Sus scrofa: one gene and its partners. The protein of the gene in region 4 binds, or shares a complex with, the protein of the main gene of each other region. Links are inferred from orthologs where the notes say so. Each region holds a gene or a part of one and is shown on either strand. Other genes may lie near its edges. The genes, in order: MTA2, CHD5, MTA1 and CDK2AP2.

Region 1 (3,658 bases), about 4.1 Mb from region 4:
TGTGTAAAGAGGACCTAAGGTAAACATCTCCAGGTCTTTAGCCTTGAGCAAGTCACAAATGCTGAGGTTGTTTCTCATCTCTAAAGAAAGTGCTCAAGGAGCACACAATAGATTTAATTTGTTGTTCTCTCTCCTGAGGTGCTCCTCCTGTCGGGACTAGCTCAGGCGTCTCATCTGTCTCCCAAACCTAAAAAGGGAGGAAATGGCACTAGAGTGGACCCCAATATCAAAGCAGTTGCTGGCCTTGGAGATCTTGCAACAGCAGTCTGTGCGAATACACCAGCATTAGGTGGTATGACCCTACATCACCCCCCGAGGTGGACTACATCTTGCTCCAACCTCGCAACTCCCAGAATTCCCCAAGTAAAAGGGAGAGAGGAGTTTAAAAGTTGGGAAATAAAGAAGCACCTTCACACACTCACACTCCTATGGAAGCCACCAGTCATTCTGAGAACCAGCTCATCTCAACGGGTTTGAGTGAATCTCAGCCAAGATGATACTCTGGCTCCAGTACCACAGAGAGCTGGGGAGCAGTGTGGGTCCCACAGGAAAGCAAGATGGAACAGGCCACCTGTCCCAGGCTGTGTATCTCATAAAGCTCTACCCCAGGCAAGCCCCCATCTATACCTCCTCTATTGTCCTTTGTCCTTTATTTTCCCAAAGATACCACACACACACACACACACACACACACACACACACACACACACAGCAGAGAATAGCTGAGCCAGGAGGAGCTGAAGAAAACAGCTTTTTATTTGTTACTATAAGAACCAATTACAGAATCCGAGGTTAAAAAAACGGACAAAAGATCTTTATTTCTGAGAATTGGCGTACAAAAGGCAGAGGGGGCAAGGAGAGGGAAGGAAAGAGCGAGCATAGGCTGGGGTTGATACCAGCTTAGGGGCCTCAAACTCCGATTGGGAAAGTCCGGACACCGGACAGGAAGAGGAACCCCCAGTTAGAAAAAAGGAGAAAAAAAAGATAGACATGGCAGTAATGGCAGTGCACGCCCCCCTCCCCCAACCAGATACCACCTGATATCTGCTTACTCTTCCCCTCTCCCATCCCCTTTCACAAAGGGAGGCAAAATTTTTAAAAAATTAAAAAACCCTCCCCCCAAAAACTATCCAAGACAACTGTGGGCCCTACCCCCAAAACAGGCTAGGTTCCCACAATGGGCCAAGTTCCTGCAGTTTGCCCTCCATCACCAGGCATGGAGAAGCACCGGAAGGGGACAAGCCTCCAAGTAGTAACACCAGAGGGCGCCCATCCCCTCCAAGGACACACTCACTTGCTCCCTCCCTCCCGCACTCCTCATTCCCTTTGACACTAGAGGGAAGGGAGGCTAGGTGCCCGGTGCACCCACCCTCTAGCTTTCAGCCCTCCTCCCTGCCCCACAGATGCTCAGTCTTCCAGGACAATGGGCTCATTGGTGCTGGCAGGATGTGCGGATGGAGGAAGAGAGACTGGAGCCCGCACTGTAATCAGCGGTGGCTTCACCTTCAGAGGCAAGTTGGGCCGGCGGGCAGCTCGCCGCATCTCCAGGTGGGTCAGAGCCTTCCGCAGGGCTCTGGTCAGGAAGGAAAGGGGGACAAGGGAGAAGGCAAAGACCTTCAGGCTGAAACCCCACATTCCACACTGCAATCCCCCATCTCCAGCCCCTTCCTTCCTAGCACGGCCACCCTGCAGCCAGGGTCTCCCTGGAGTTGGTCTTGCTCAGATACTCCTATTTCCCACACCCACCAGGCTGGGTGGTCAACCTCTCAGCCCCTCCCATGCTGGGCTCCCCACCTGGTGTCTTTTGTGGCCACAAACACCACAGGATTGGGGGCGTCAGCTGGGTTTAGTTTCTGACGCTTGGTTGCTGGCTGTGAGCTTGAGCGAATCCCTGAAGCCAGAGGCCTTCCATTGGCAGAGAAGGGGACTCCTGCCATCTGGAAAAGGGTAGGGCAGCGTAATGAGAAGGGGGACTCTCAGACGCCCATCAGAAATAAACACCCATCTAACTCAACGTGACCCACTCCAGTCTGTCAACTCACAGTCTCATAGGCCCGTTTCACCATAATGCTCCCCAGCCCCCGATTCTGGGTCAGCTGGTTCCTATTGATTGGTGTCTTGGTACCCCGAGGTGTTTTTGGTTTCAGAGGTGCCTGGGCCACTGTCAGGGAAAAACAAATAGATAAATAAAGGAAACCTGAGAGAACTTTCACACTCCCTCTTTTCTATGCATCTTCCCTGGGCATTCCTAAAAGGAGTGATGGGGGAGGGGGCTGGCAAGCGATTACCAGCATTTCAAAAGTCAAACATGAGTGTGATCTTATCAATCAGTGCACAGTTTACTGAATAGCTTATGATAAAAACTTTTTTTTTTTTGGATGCACCCATGGCATTTAGAAATTCTCAATACAGGGAGTTCCCGTCGTGGCGCAGTGGTTAACGAATCCGACTAGGAACCATGAGGTTGCGGGTTCGGTCCCTGCCCTTGCTCAGTGGGTTAACGATCCAGCGTTGCCGTGGGCTGTGGTGTAGGTCGCAGACGCGGCTCGGATCCCGCGTTGCTGTGGCTCTGGTGTAGGCCGGTGGCTACAGCTCCGATTCAACCCCTAGCCTGGGAACCTCCATATGCCGTGGGAGTGGCCCAAGAAATAGCAACAACAACAACAACAACAAAAAAAAAAAAAAAAAAAAAAAAAAAGAAATTCTCAATACAGGTATCAAACCCAAGCCAAAGCAGTGACCAGAGCCACAGCAGTGACAATGCCAGTGACCCGCCAGGAAACTCCATGAAAAAAAAAAAAAAAAACACTTCAGGAGTTCTCATTGTGGCTCAGCAGTAAAGAGCCCGACTAACATCCATGAGGACATAGGTTCGATCCCTGGCCTTGCTCAGTAGGTTAAGGATCCGGCGTTGCCGTGAGCTGTGGTGTGGGTCGCAGACGCAGCTCGGATCCCGCGTTGCTGTGGCTGCGGCATCGGCCGGCAGCTATAGCTCTGATTAGACCCCTAGTCTGGGAACCTCCATATGCCGTAGGGGAAGAGATAGGTCTTGATAATAAAAGGACTGAAAGGCAGCCACCACCCTAAGAGCCTCCCCATCCTATACCACCTGTACCGCAGTCCAGTTCCCCATCCCTTACCCAAATCTTTCACAATAGTTGCCAGGGGAAGTCGCACCAGAGGGTGAATCTTCAGTGGAGTCTTGGCGGCCTTAGGAAGTCGAATGGAGCCTGGAGAACAAAGACAAAAGCTTTTGAAGGGACTTCACTATTCAGGCCTCTTCTGGGGCCAGGAACTGTGTCCAAGTTCCCAACAAATCCTTATGGGCCACTATTCCTACTGTCAGTAAATATCCAGAGGAACGCCCTCCGGCCAGAACAAACCCTGAAGCTGCCCTTACACTCTGCCTTGATGGCATTGGCATTGATAGGGGCATAGGGTCGTCGGGCAGCCCTCCTCGGCTGTAACAGGTCCCTGCACATGCGTCTGGCAAGACGGGTCAGCTTCGTGGTCTGGAGCAGGAATGTTTGCCTGTTCTTGGCCAGCAGCTTGGCCCGGTTGGCGCTAGTCGTATAGGGAGAGAGACTTTGGGCTTCAGGTCTGGACAAATGACCTCTCGAGTGTGGCTCCTGGAAGAAGGACATAGAAAAAGGAGAAA
Region 2 (4,629 bases), on a different chromosome or scaffold from region 4:
CTCCCCTGGACCTGCCCTCCACATCCCCTGGAGAATGTGGCAGCTAGGGGCCCTGAGCCCCAGAGGCAGGCACCCACTCTGCCTTTCACCGGCCTCACGGCCAGAGAGTTGGCAGGGCCGCGCCTGGCGGGGGGGCAAAGGGGAACAGTGCTGAGCTGTGGTGGGGGGGGGGCGAGCCGAGTGAAAAGAGCCACCTGACAAGTAGTGAATCCACTGTGGCAGATTTCACACTGAGTGTGACAGCTCCCAGCACACTGGCTCCCCCACCCGCAAACTGCCACGTGTGGGGCCTGCCAGCTGGAGGTCCCTTCAGGCCACGGCCATGAGCTCAGGCGGAGGCTGCAGAGGGGCCACAGAGGAGGGCTGGGGGCCAGGTGGCCAGCCCTTGAGGAGAGACACGAGGTCCGGGCTGAGGCTGTCATCACGTCCAAAGGCCAGGGGGACCCAGGGACTCCCAGGCCTCAGACAATGGGGCCACAAACCTCTATCTAGCATCCACGGCCCCAGGCGGGGGCACACTGGGTGGTCAAAGGAGTCACATTCGAGGGGGGAGCCGACAGTCACAAGGCAGCTGATGATAATATTTCAGGGAGTAGGAAGTGCTGCCAAGAAAACAAAGCATTAAAATGGGCCTAAGAATGACGGGGGTGGGTGGGAGGGGGACGGACACTTGAGCCAGGAGCTGGGACCTCGATGGCAGGAAGGCAGCAGTCATGAGCCGAGGAAAGAGCCTGTCGAGGCCACGGCCAGTGCTCAGGGCAGGATGGAGCCTGGGAGCTTCCAGAAGCATCGAGGAAGCCAGGATGTGAGCAGGAGGTGGGGGCGGAGAAGAGGGTGGGCTCGAGCAGCGCTCTGCGATCCGTCCAAGCGTGGGGGTCTGGGTCTGGCTTGTGCGGACCAAGGTGACCCTGACTGCCGAGCGAAGCCTGGGCGGGGAGGACAGGATGGGAGACTCTGGTATGGACGAGCCGGAGGGGACAGTGGCTCAGACCAGGGGCAAGGCGGAGAGGAGCTGGGAGCTCGGAAGGCTCAGGACACACTCTGGTCTTGCTGAAGGACAGGCCTCGGTCTCTGCTCTGCAGGGCTCTGAGAGCGGTCCCAGAGGCCCTGGGGACAACCCTACCCCCAGGCCCTGCCCTGGAGCCATGGGTGCCAGCTGGAGGGAGACAAGGTGGAGGACAGGGCACCCTGACCAAGGCCCAACCCCTCTGGCCCAAAGAGAGTGAGTTGGGTGTCTGCCAGCCTTGGAACATCTGCCCTGGTCCCCTCCCCTCCAGATCCTCTGAGCCCTGGGGCACAACAAGGAGAGCCAGAGTGGGTGGGAAGGGAAACAGGGGATCCATCAGGGAGCTAGAGAAGTCTGGAAAATAAGCCATGTTCAGCTGGCCACTGCCCCCACTGGTGCCACAAAGGGCCACGCCCCAAGCACCACCAGGATGCCCGTGAACAGGCTTACGGAGGAGCTGGCTTGCTGGGCAGAAAACAGCCGTGGATTTTCTCCTGGGCCCTCTCTGTGTTTCCTTCCGGAAAATGGGCCTAATTCCCCGGACCCCAGGAAGCGACGGTCAACTATTGTCCAAGCGACCACGCAGCGTGGGCCCACCTCCTCCTCACTCCCCTCGCTCCAGGAGGCTCTTTGCAAACTTGGCCGAACTGTCCAAACGGGCTGGGTGAGGCCCCAGGCACAGCATGAAAGCCCGCAAACAAGTGGGGAGGGGGGTGGGGGAGGCCCTCCGGTGGGCGTGGCCACCTGGCGGGAATCCCTTGCGAGGCGGGCCCTCCCCCCTCACCTCCCGCACCCCGGAGCCCAGGGGCCAGTCTGTAGAATGGTCTCCCCTCGGGGGCAGGGGCTCCTGGGGCCAGACGGCACCTTCCGGGGCCAAGGCGGGCTCCCGTGCCTCCCGCAAGTCTCTCTGGAGCCCAGGAGGGGCCGCCGACGGGGTGCGGGAAGCTGAGACCGAACAGTCCCCGGGAAGAGGAGGAGGAAGGCTGGCCGACCGGGTGAGGCCCTGCCCAGCTGCGCCGGGAGGGAAAACGTCCCGAACAAATGGGGAGCAGTTAACTAAAGAATCGCCCTGCAAGGGCGACGCACGAGCCCTGTTTCTGCTGAATTCTGGAGAGGGATGGGCCAGGGCGGTGGCCCTAGGAGTCAGGCCCGGAGCCAAAGCCCGGTGGGCTGGGAACGCCACTACCCGGGCGACCGCGGGCTGGAGACGCTGGCCGGCGCTAGGGCGCGCCAGGACGACGCCGGCGGCCCCGGCAAAGTGCTTGGGAGCGGCACTCGCGGCACCCAGCGGCCGGGGAACAGGGAGCGGGAGTCCGAGCCCGCGCGCTCCAGCCCGGAGCCTTGGTGGGCCTGGAGGGCAGCCAGGGCGCTCGCGGCTCGCCCAGCACGCCCGGTCCTCCGCCCGCTCCGGGCCCCACCCAGCCCACCCTGCGGCTGAGACCCCGGGGCCGAGACCCTAGGGCTGAGAGAGGCCGGCTCCGGGTATCCGGTCCCTCCAGCCCCCGCCAGGCCCCGCGAGGTCAGGGGTGCGCAGCGCGAGCCGGGAGCGCCGGGTGCGCGGCACCCGCCGCCGAGCGCGATTCCCGCCCCCTTCAAGGGCACGCGGGCTGACCCCCGCGGCGCCGCGCCCCCTCCCCTCTCCGGGCGCCCGGCGAGGCCCCCAGCGGTCCTCTGCCCGCGCCGCGGCCCGGGTGGCCCCGATCGCACCCGCCCTTGGCGGCCCGCGTGCCGCGCCCCGGCGATAGCCCAGCCCCGCGCCCTTGGCTGCGCGGCGCCAGCAGGGCGGGAGCGCAGCCCGCAGCCCAGCGCCCCCTCCCGCGCGCCGCCAGCGCCGCCCGCGAGGTCCGGCCGCGGGGCCCCGGCGGACCCCGCGCCCCCCGCAGTCCCGGCCCCGGGCGCAGCCGGTGCCCGGCTCACCTGACATCTCGTCCTCGTTCTCCATCTCGTCCGCGAACAGCCGCGGCAGCTCCTCCTCGGTGCCCAGCGGGCCCCGCATGCCCGGCGCGGGGGGAGGGGAGGTGGGCGCCCCCCCTCCCGCCGGGCGCGGTGCCAGCCTTAACCCGTGCGCTGCCGGACGGGCGCGCGCGGCGGGCGAGGCGGCCTCAGCGAGAAGATGGCGGCCGCCTGCCCCCCCACCCCCCAAACCTCCACTCCCCCGTCTCGACCCCCTTCGTCTCGGCCGCCTTCACCCCGCTCCCCGCAAAGCCCGGGCTGCTCCGCCCACCGCGCCCGGCAGCCCGAGTCCCGCAGCCGGCCGAGGTGGCGGCGGCAGCGCCGGCTGCACGGAGGCACGGCGGGGGGGCGGCACACATGCCCGGATTGTGACGTCCAGTCTGGTTGCTGTGGCAACCCCATCCCATCGTTCCGGCAGCGCGACTAGTTAACAGCAGAGAACAAGTTGAGGGGACTAGTCCTGAGCCTCTGGGTGCGGGGTGGGGGCAGAGCCCTCCGGCAGGGGGAGCCGTCGAGGCGCCCGCGCGCCCGGGGACCCGACGGCCGAGCGGGCAGCGGGGACTCGGGCGGGCAGGCCGGGCCCAGTGGGAGGCGGGGAAACGCCAGCCCGCGCACCCCTAGCGGGACCCGATGCCGCCGCTGCCCCCGCCCGGAAAGGCGCTCGGCCCCGAGTCCCCTGGGGCGCGGAGGCCCGGTCCCCGAGGCAGCGGGCTGTCGTACTCCGCTCACACGCACCGAGACCCTCGGCTCCTGCAGCAGCTCCAGCCGCAAAACGCTTCTAACCCCCTTTCCAAAAAGGATTAGAAGAAAAATGCGTTCCGCACATGGTGAAGGGCCGTGCTGCAGACGGCGGGTCTGATTCCTCCCGAAAAAAAATCCATGCAGGCTGGCTCCTCCCTCCACCCATCGCACCCCGCTCCCACCGCCCACGTGCCCCCTTCCCAAACGCCCCTCCAGGCGGGGTCCGCTTTAAACCTATCCAGGCCCGACCCCCGCGGGCGGTGGGTGATGCGGCTCTGCGTTCGCGTGCCCAACACTCCCGCTCAGAAGCGACACCTGTCGCGGAGCGGGAAGGAGCCACGCCACCAGCCCTCGGTTGCTAAAGGTGAAGATGGAAGCCAAAGCCCTCGGGAGCAAGACTGGAATTCTAAATGAGCTCCGCCAGCCTTGGCTGCTGCCAGTCTTAAAGCTACTCTAAGAACGCAAAAGTTTCCGTGGTGGGGAGGATGGCTGGCTTTCTAACCCTGGAAGAGCCAGTAAGGGGAGGGCACCCTCACCTCACAGCCTGGGGCCAGGCTCACTTGGGGGGAGACCCACTGGAAACCTGGTTGTTGGTTACCAGGGACCCTGGCAGTATCCACCTGACGGGAAGCCCAGAGAAGCTGGGAGGAGGTCTCCTCTCTAGGACCCACCCCTCTGGTCTTGGCTGAGCACCTGCTCTGTCCAGGTGGGCATTCACTAGGACCCGTGACACTGGCATCCCCAGGAGGGCTCCTCTCCTCGGGCCTTTGAGGAGCCAGGAGAGTTGTGGGTGCTTGGTGAGGTGGTCACAACGCAATCTCCAGTGAGTCCAAGCTGTACCCTGCAGGTGACGATGGCTCGGGGAGAGCTGGAAAGATGTATAGAATCTTCACTCCCTCTTCCCATCCCAAACCAAACTCCTCTTCATT
Region 3 (4,345 bases), on a different chromosome or scaffold from region 4:
AGGCCTCTGTCCAGGCCAGGTCACTTCCCAGGGACGAAGCAGGCCCTGCCCCTCCCAGGCCGACCCAATCGGCCCAGGCGGTCAGCTGGCCCAAAGCTGCAGCCAGGCCTTCACCCCGCCCGACTCCTGGCAGGGCCTTGGGACAGCCTGCCAGGTGGGACACGCAGGACTCCCAAGTGACGCGGGACTCTGCGAGCAACTTCTCATGTAAGTGTGGCCCACACAGTATTCGGGACACACGTATGCTAAGAAACTGTTTATCTGAAATTCAAATTTAACAGGCGTCCTGTGCTTCTCCCTGCTGAAGCCGGCACCTTCGGCAAAGGCTCTGCTCTCCGGGTCTTTAGTGGAGGAGACCCCGGAGGCGGGCGGGGGCAGGCCCCCGGCCAGGGCAGGACGCCTCCATCTGGACCCTGAGACACCCAGACACGGACCCCCGCGCAGCAGCAGCACCTCGGGACAGCAGCCCAGCCGGCCCGCACCAGGCCGGCCGAGCCCACGGCCCAGTGGACAGGGGCAAACGAGGCTTCCCTGCAGGGACCGAAGGGGTCCAAGTGGAAGCAGCCCCACCCATGGGCTACACCACAGGACCCCTGTTTACACCAAGGGAGGGGGGTTGCCAAGAGGAGGGTGACAGAAGTCCAAGTCCAGGGGCACCCCGGCCCTTGGAACCAGTCGCGACAAGCAGGCACGGGGCGGGGGGCCTGGGAGGGAGAGGCAGAGGAGGCCACGGAGGGCCTCTGGGTGACACCCAAGCCTCCCTCTCCAGCCTCGGTGTCTGCGGCCGGCCGGGAGCTGGGCGCCCCTGCCCTGGGAACACTCCATTTACTGAACACGCTGAGCAAGACTTCAGGGCCACAGCCTGGGGTGGGAGGTGAGCCCACACCTGCAGAGAGGCTCTGCGTGGGGAAAGCCAAGGGGCACCGAGTGGGCGGGGGGACGGCCAGACCAGAGGAGGGCCTTGGGCTGGGCAGGAGGGGGTCTGCGCTGAGGAAAGGCGTTCCAGGAGGGCGAGGGGGTGGCACTGAAAGGGGGCAGCTGCGAGGCGGGCAGGAGCCCTGGGCTGCAGCAGCTGGGCTAGGGGCCAACGGACGGAGAAAGCGACTCCGTCCGTGGGGTTCCACGGGGGGCCACCCAGCCTGGCAGTGTATTGAGAGACCCCGGGGGCCTCCCTCCACAGATCGGCTCCCCCCCGGACTGGAGAAGTTGGGAAACCAACAGGCCCCTCTCTGAAGGCCCCCGCCCCCTAGCCTGCTCTCCCCCCGCCACCGCCGTGTCCACCAGGGGCCTGCTGCCGAATGGGGTAAGGGCCCCCATTTCCGTGACACCTCTGAGCCAGAGAGGAGGGAGGGCTGGACAGCGGGGCGGGTGCGCCCAAGGTCACAAGGTTGGCCTGGCACTCGGGGGTCAGCCGGCCAGCGAGAGAGGGTAGACTGAAGACACAGGTGACTTGGAAAGCCAGGCCAGAGCTGTCCTCAGCCCTGACCAAAGGGGGGCAAGTGGGCGGCTCAAAGTCTCCGAGAGGGTGGGCATCTCACCACCTGTGAAGGACCAGATGAGGCCAGCTCGGGACCCCGTGGGGACCCGTAGCACGAGCCTCCTAGAGCCCCCTCCCCACAAAGTGGGGCAAAGCCCAAAGCTGGAGGCTTCCTGGGGCTTGAGTGGGAGAAGCAACAGCCCCAGGAAGGAAGCCCCCACCCCGGATCTCAGCTAGCTCTGCACCCCCTAACCAGGGGGCCACCTGCCTCTTTCCCAAATGCAAAGCACCTCCCTGCTGGGCCGCAGAAACAGGAGACAGCAGAGAAAAGATCAGGGTGCCAGCAGCACGCTGGGGGGAGCACAGGCCGCTGAGGACCTGGAGAGGGAATCCTGCCGGGGAAGCCCCCAGGCCCACGCCGGCCCAGAGGGCAGCTCCCAGGTGACCGCAGGCTCGCGGCGGGAACGCGGCCGCCACATACAGCTCCCCACCCCCCGAGGGGACCACTGCCCCCCGCCCCCAGCAGCTGAACCAGCCCTCGGCGCCGCCGCGGGGGTGCTCTCCACACCACAAGGGCCCCAAACTCCCACTCCCAGGAGCCGCCAGCACCTCCCAATGCCACGTGCTCCTGCTCCCGAGTTGGGGGGATCCCGCCAGGCGCCCCAGCCCCAAAGGATGCTCTGCGACTCCCAGAGCTCCTCAGCCCCACGCTCAGCCCCCAACAGGTGGGCAGAGCCCCCGCCTGGCCGCTGCCGGCCCAGCCACTACCCCCCACCGGCTCCAGGAGGGGCCGGGCCAAGGGGCCAAGTCGGGTGGCGACGAGCACGGCCAGGGCAGAGGTGGTGGTGGAGGAGCCGGCTGCTCAGAAAAGATGGAGCGGGAAGGGGAAGGAGACAGGGGCGGGGGGGGGGGCGCAGCAGAGGAGTGGGCGCCGCGGGCAGGAGGGAGGGTGGCCCAGGCAGGCGGCCTGCAGTGGGGGAGGGGTGCAGAGGTGGAGGGAGGGGACCAGAAGTGGGCCGATGGGGGGGCGATGGGGAGGCGGGCGGAGGGGGAGGGGGGAAGCGGAACGGGGGGAGGGGCGGGACAAGATGGGGGACCCGGGCAGGGGGTGCCGAGGGGGCGCGCGCGGGGGGAAGGGGGCGGCGGACGGCGAGGCCCGGGGCGCCGACCGGGGCCTGAGGCGCGGCGGGGCGGCGCGATGGGGGGCCCGGCGGGGACGCGGGTGGCGGGGCCGGGGCCCGCGGCGCCTCGCGGCGGCGGCGGCGGGCGGGCGGCGGCCTTACCTCCGACCCTGTACATGTTGGCGGCCATGTCCGGCGGCGGCGGCGGAGGCCGCGGGCTGGGCCGGGCTGGGCGCTGGGCTCGGCGCGGGCGGCCTGGAAAATGGAGGCGCGCGGGCGCGGGGCGCGGGGGCGCGGGCGGGCGGGCGGTTTAAAGGGGCCGCGCTGCCGCCGCCGCCGCCGCCGCCGCCGCTGCCGCCGCCGCCGCCGCCGCCGCCGCCGCCGCCGCCGAGGCCGCCGAGGCCGCCGAGGCCGCGCAGGGACCGAGGGCCGCGGCGCGGGCGGGAGAGGAAGAGGAGGAGCGGCCGCGGGGAGGGAGGGGCCTCGGGCGCCACCGCCCACCGCGCGGGCCGTTACCCGCCCCGCGGCCGCGCGCTCCCCGCCGCCTCCCGCGCCCCCGCCCCGCCCCGCCCGCACCCCGGGCCCCGGGCCGCAGCGGCCCATCGGCCCTCCGCCCCGGGTCCGCCCTGGCCCCCCCCCGCCCCCCGCCCGGCCCTTTCCGCGCAGCCTCCCGCCCGAGGGCGCCCTCCGAGTCCGCGCGTTCGCAGGCGCTCGGCCGCCCGCCGCTCCGTGGGCGGCCCGGGCCCTCCGGCCCCGGCCCTCGGCGCCCCGCCCGCACGGCCCCCGGCACACAGTTGCGGGCCGCTTTCCCCCACCTCTCAGCTGGCACGGCCCCCCTGACGGTGCCCGAGGGAGGAGGGGTGGGCGTGCCCGGAGGAGGCCGCCCTCCGGAAGGCGCCCCCCGCCCCCGGGGGGGCCCCCCCCCGCAGGCACAGCCCAGACCAGGGGGTGCAGGGAGGCGCGGGGGCCGCGGGAGCGAGCGAGGCTCCCGCCTGTCCTCCCAGCCCCGCGTGTGAGCTGGGCGCCTGAGGTCCAGGACGGCCCGGACGCTGCCCGGGGAGGCGGGTGGGGAGGCTGCTGGGCGGAGGGGATGGAGCCCCGCACGGAGAGAAGCAAGGGGCCGGGTCCAGGATCAACCTGACTGCCAGGGGGCTGCAAAGGAGGAGCCAGCCCTGTGGGACCTGGAGGGGCTGGGGCTCCAGAGGCCCCAGGGCTGACCGCCTGCCAGGAAAGGCAGAGGAGCAGGGGCTAGGTGCTGCTGACATGTAGGCCGTCCCCCAAGTGTCGCGAGGTGCGATGGTCTCCCTCGCTCCCCGCAGGCCTGGTCCCTGCCTCCGGGGCCTGCATCTCCTCATCTGGACGGCGAAGCTGCAGCACTACCTAACAGGTGGACCAAAACTTAATCAGAACCCCCAATAAATACATGCCCAGGCAGCTGCTGGTCACAGAGAGTGCCCACAACGTCCTGCCTGTAAAGTGCCTGCTCCTGCCTCCCTTCTGGAAATAAGACAGCCCCTGGAGAGCAGAGGCAGCTGAAAGGTGGGGGCCGTTTTCCTCCCGGCGCGGGTGCTGGCAGGTGAGTGGCAGTCGGAAGCCATTGGAATTGCACGACTCCCCCAAGGAGGAGGAATCGCCCTCCCAAAGCACCGTGACTTCTAATAAACCCTTGGGAGAGGCCGCCAAGCCCGCGCCCGCTCCTCGGCTGGCTTTCGCCCTGTGTTCCTCTCCCAAGATGGACAGAAAGGAG
Region 4 (4,451 bases):
GAACCGGCTGGGTCTTCCCGTGTTGGAAAGCAGCAGTGCCCTTCCCCTCTGGGGGCTGAGGTGGGGTGTATTCAGAGCCTCCAGGGCGGATTTGGAGTTTAGGACCTTAGGGCATTAAGGCATGTGAGGGCATGGCTTAAGTGAAAGGGCACTTCCATCCTGCCGGGCCTCACCATTACCAGCTAATTCAGAGGAAGAACCCTCTAGGCTCAGGCTGGAGGCAGTGCCCTCAGCTGTGGAGGCAGCCAAGGCCCTGCGCTGCCCCCTGGTGGCATGACTGTGAAGGAGGGCAGGGCTTTCAGCCACTGGAGCTCAACCCTCTCTACTACTTACAGGTGGAAGAGGCAGGGGGCAGCGGCAGACAAGGGCAGGGTCCCACCAAGGTCAATGGACAGTGGAGGCAAGGCAAAGCTGGGCTCAGTGGACCTCTCTCCCACCCAGTGCACCACCCCGAGTCTCCTCTTTGCCCTCCTTCCTGGCCCACCCAGACTTACTAGACGCAGCAGACTCATAAAGACTACAAGCTGAGAGAACAACTCCAAATTATCTTTTATTTATACAAAAAGGGCATATTTAGCAAAAGACACACCGAGAAAAGAGTTATGGCCTAGGAGACGAGGCAGGGAGGCGACAGGCCTTCTGAGGCTCTGCTGGGGGGAGAAGGGGTCTGGGAAAACGGTAAGTCCTGGGTAAGTGCTGAGCGGTGGGGCCACAGAAAGGAGAAAGCCCCAGCTGGATCAACACTGTTGGCAGGTCATGGGTGGGACTCCCAGGGACCTCACTGCTCCCTCTTTTGGGGGTTCCAGTTACTGCTGCCGACTGGAGTGAGAGCCGCCCACTGGTTCCTGGAGGGCACCCACCAAAGGACACAGGACAGGAAGCCCAGGATGGGAAGTGCAACTCGGGGTGAAGGCCAGGGAGAAGCAGGTGCTCTGCAGTGGCCAGGAAAGGTCCAGACGCCGAGGAGGAGTCGAGTCCTGTTACGTGCGGGCGTTCCGCTCTGTCTCTGCCAGGCACTCTCTGACTAGGGCCCGGGCATGGATGATGCCTGGGGTGAGGATGGGAAAGGAACAGATGAGGCCTCAGTGACCCTCCATAGCCCCACACCCCCCTCCAGAGGAAGACCCCCCTCCCTCCCTACTCCCCTTTCCTTTCAGTGAAAGGGACTATGACCTAATGGGGGCCTGGATGAGATCAGAGGTTCGGTTAATGCTCAAATTTGCCCCGGTGAAATACAAATTCTCTGGACCTTCCCTGGAAACGGACTCGGCTGCAATTCACTGCAAAATGCCTCTGTGGACAGTGATACTGGCCCTAGTCTACGCTTGGCTCAGGTGGCCTCCACCTGTCTTTCCTTCCCAGTGTTAAGTCTCCTGGGCAGGGGTGGTGGGCCTGGCCTCACTCACCTCTCTTCAGGCGCTCCATGGCACTCTTGCTGCCAGCATAGGTGGGTCGGATCTCTTTGCCCATCTCCTCTATGACCGACAGCAGGTCCGTGTAAGTGCTCTGGGAGCCCTGGGCGCCAGGTGGTTTCATTGCCTGTGTCAAAGGAGAACACGGCAGTGAGCTCAGGCCAAGAGGGGGGCTCCAGTCCTCCTCCACAGGCAATCCTATGGAAGATCCTAGGCTCCACTCACCTGCACATAGCCCATGGAGGGCGGTCCAAAGTCGTTAAACAGAGGTCTGAAAGGAGCAGCAGCTCCCGGCACCGAGCCCGACGGCGATGGGACACTTCCAGCTGCAACAGGCGCGAGTGAGAGGTCAGCGCGGGGTAGGGACGCCTCGTCCCGGCGCTCCAAGCCCCGGACCAGATTCGCCCGATTACCTCCAAAGGGATGCTTGGCTTCACGCTGCTAAACTTCAGGACAAACCCCTCCCCCTGTGCTTCACCAACAAGCCCTACGTGACCACGCCCACATCACAGGCCAGTAAACTGAGGCTCAGCGAGGGTAGCCGGCAGGCCCACTACTGCAGAACTCAGGCCGTCCTCTCTTCGAGACCTCCACCGCCCGGACAGGCGAGCAGGGGTGGAGCTGGATCCTCACCTGTAGGGACCGGGGTGCCGGGCCCAGGGGTGCTGGAGCCCGGGGTGCTGCTGGGGGCGGGGGCGATGGGTTTGTAGGACATCCCCAACTCCTGGGTGCGGCAGACGCCGGCCGGCCGCTCCTCCCGGGTTGGCTGCCTGGCCGCTTAGCTGCGCTCTGATTGGCAAGCCGGCAGCACGCCCCTGGTAAATAGAGCTCAGGCCGGAAGGGCGGGCGGGCACGAAGGCTCCTTCACTCCTGATTGGTGCGCGAAGACGTCACTCGGGCCTTGTCATTGGCCGAGGCCGGCCCCAACAGGCCGCAACCGCTTCTGATTGGTCTCCGCCTTCCGGACCTCGCACCTGTCTGCTCCGGATTGGGTAGTGGTCGATGCCCTCCGCAATTGGCGAGTTCGCGGCCCGGGCCGGCGCGCTCTCAATCCGATTAGTCCCAAAACGCGAGAGGCGGAGCCTCGGAAGCCGGACCTGGGTCCGGTCCGCCGCGGTTCGAGCCCGGCGGGGCTTCCCGGGCGCGGTTGTCGTCCTCACGCCTCACTCACGTTGCTTTGTACGTCACCTTTCCGCTGCCGTCCCGGTTCAGCTGGGGCTGCTGTCGTCGCCGCCGTCGCCGCCGCTGCCGCGCGCGCGCGCGCGCCTTTCCGCCGCTCCGAGTGCGGGAGGACGCAGGGCTTTGACGTTCCCAGCCCTGCGCCCCACCCCGTGCGCTTTTACGTCACCTTTCACCGGTTCAACAACCTGTCCCCGACCCGCGCATGCGCCCTCTTAGGGCCTCGTTTGTTCCCATGGCAACGGACCCCTCACCAATGCTGCTGACACGCCTCTTCCTCGCAATTGCCTGGACCTCGGGTCCTGCCCCTCTTCCAACTACCTGGACCTCAACCTGCCCTCCTCCCCCAAGGCCCCACGCCGGTGCCCCATAATGATAATAGCGGGAACAGCTAATCTTAAATACTTACGGCATCCCGGGTTCTGTACCACGGACGGTCCTGGATCAGGGACTACAGCAGCATCTGGGGTCAGACTGATGGGTCTAATCGCACCCTCAGCCCCCACCCCCACTTGCCCTTGGGCAAGTTACCTCCCTAGGCCTCAACTTCCTCATCTGTGAAATGGGGACGCTAGGAACAACCATCTCCTAGGATTGTTGTGTGGATTAAACGAATAGTCATAAAATGCTTATGTTTCATTCTCCTCTTCCCTATCCATTTCTCTATCCAGACCCCTCTCCTCAAATCTCATTCCTCACAACCTGAGATCTTAGACTCTCCTCCAAACCGTAACCCTTTTTTCCCAGGCTACTTCTCAAAACCTCTCTGGCTTTGTGTACCGGTCATGTCCAGGACATTCATTCATTCGTTCATTCAGCAAACATTTTGATTCCATCCCCCATCTTCGGCTTTATGCTGGACACTGATATGGAAGTGAACTGGCCATGGCTTCTGTCCTCCAGGAGCTCCTAGTCTCAAGGAGAGACAGACAGGGAAGCAAAAGCACACAATGGACTAAGGCAATGTGGAGACTGGGACAGGGAGCATTGGAACTTAGGGGAAGTGTGACATCACAGAAGTTTTCCCAGAGAGGCACCACTCAACAGGTGAATGGACAGATAAACTGAGCAGTCGCCATACAATCAACTATTATTCAGCAATAAAAGGAAATCATCTATCTATAGCCTTGAAAAGATATAGACACAGTGCTGAGAAGCCAGTCTGAAAAAGCCACATACTGTATGATCCCAAATGTACGGCATTCCGCAAAAGGCAAATTGATACAGAAGGTAAAAAAAATGACTGGTTGCCAAGGGTGCTGGGGTGAGGGGGTGCTGGGTAGAGGGGGGAGGGGTAAAATTGAACAGGGGGAGCAGAGGGGATGGGGGGGCATGAAGTGATTATGTATGATGCTGTAATGGTACATGCAAGACCTTGACAGTTACCAAAGAGTAAACTTTTTCATTTAGAAGGTCAGGCGATCCGAGGGTGGAAAGCAGAATATGACAAAAGAATCTAGCTGTATTGCAAATGTAGGAACAGCCTCACTGAAGGGGGTGGGGGAATCAGGTGCTAATCTGGAAATCAGTGGAGTCTGGAGGAACAAAGACAAAAAGATCTGCACGTAAGCACTGGACCCTGGTTGATGACGCGGTTTCCCATGGGGGATGGGTTGACAATTCTGAAACCACTGCACACGTACACTGGAATTCAAAATTAAATAAGTGTAGAACGAATGGCTTCTCACTGTTGGAATGAGGAGTTACAGGTAGCAAGGGAAGGAGGTTAGAATAGTCCATGGGCTAATGGATTGGAGTTGGAGCTCTCAATAGGAGCTCATGTTTAGCTTGACATAAATACAGTTGGTTACATACAGAAATATTTTTTTCTTTCTTTTTACGGCCACACTCACGGCATAT

Evidence for each region.
Region 1: CDK2AP2 (region 4) and MTA2 share a complex: the UniProt entries of both Homo sapiens proteins name them as parts of the nucleosome remodeling and deacetylase (NuRD) repressor complex. The link is inferred for Sus scrofa from reciprocal best matches to the Homo sapiens genes CDK2AP2 and MTA2.
Region 2: CDK2AP2 (region 4) and CHD5 share a complex: the UniProt entries of both Homo sapiens proteins name them as parts of the nucleosome remodeling and deacetylase (NuRD) repressor complex. The link is inferred for Sus scrofa from reciprocal best matches to the Homo sapiens genes CDK2AP2 and CHD5.
Region 3: CDK2AP2 (region 4) and MTA1 share a complex: the UniProt entries of both Homo sapiens proteins name them as parts of the nucleosome remodeling and deacetylase (NuRD) repressor complex. The link is inferred for Sus scrofa from reciprocal best matches to the Homo sapiens genes CDK2AP2 and MTA1.

Annotation. Positions count from the first base shown.
Region 1 is NC_010444.4:9,144,043-9,147,700, reverse strand, and holds the end of MTA2 (metastasis-associated protein MTA2), read right to left. Parts: intron 3,630-3,658; coding exon 3,401-3,629; intron 3,231-3,400; coding exon 3,141-3,230; intron 2,162-3,140; coding exon 2,043-2,161; intron 1,938-2,042; coding exon 1,795-1,937; intron 1,574-1,794; coding exon 1,408-1,573; 3' UTR 735-1,407; downstream 1-734. UniProt on the Homo sapiens protein: May function as a transcriptional coregulator. Acts as a component of the histone deacetylase NuRD complex which participates in the remodeling of chromatin.
Region 2 is NC_010448.4:67,083,562-67,088,190, forward strand, and holds the start of CHD5 (chromodomain-helicase-DNA-binding protein 5), read right to left. Parts: upstream 3,125-4,629; 5' UTR 3,003-3,124; coding exon 2,924-3,002; intron 1-2,923. UniProt on the Homo sapiens protein: ATP-dependent chromatin-remodeling factor that binds DNA through histones and regulates gene transcription. May specifically recognize and bind trimethylated 'Lys-27' (H3K27me3) and non-methylated 'Lys-4' of histone H3.
Region 3 is NW_018084979.1:3,459,564-3,463,908, reverse strand, and holds the start of MTA1 (metastasis-associated protein MTA1), read right to left. Parts: upstream 2,869-4,345; 5' UTR 2,789-2,868; coding exon 2,761-2,788; intron 1-2,760. UniProt on the Homo sapiens protein: Transcriptional coregulator which can act as both a transcriptional corepressor and coactivator. Acts as a component of the histone deacetylase NuRD complex which participates in the remodeling of chromatin.
Region 4 is NC_010444.4:5,023,841-5,028,291, reverse strand, and holds CDK2AP2 (cyclin-dependent kinase 2-associated protein 2), read right to left. Parts: upstream 3,037-4,451; 5' UTR 2,128-3,036; coding exon 2,046-2,127; exon of another isoform or gene 1,826-2,045; intron 1,739-1,825; coding exon 1,638-1,738; intron 1,540-1,637; coding exon 1,407-1,539; intron 1,049-1,406; coding exon 981-1,048; 3' UTR 526-980; downstream 1-525. UniProt on the Homo sapiens protein: Acts as a component of the histone deacetylase NuRD complex which participates in the remodeling of chromatin.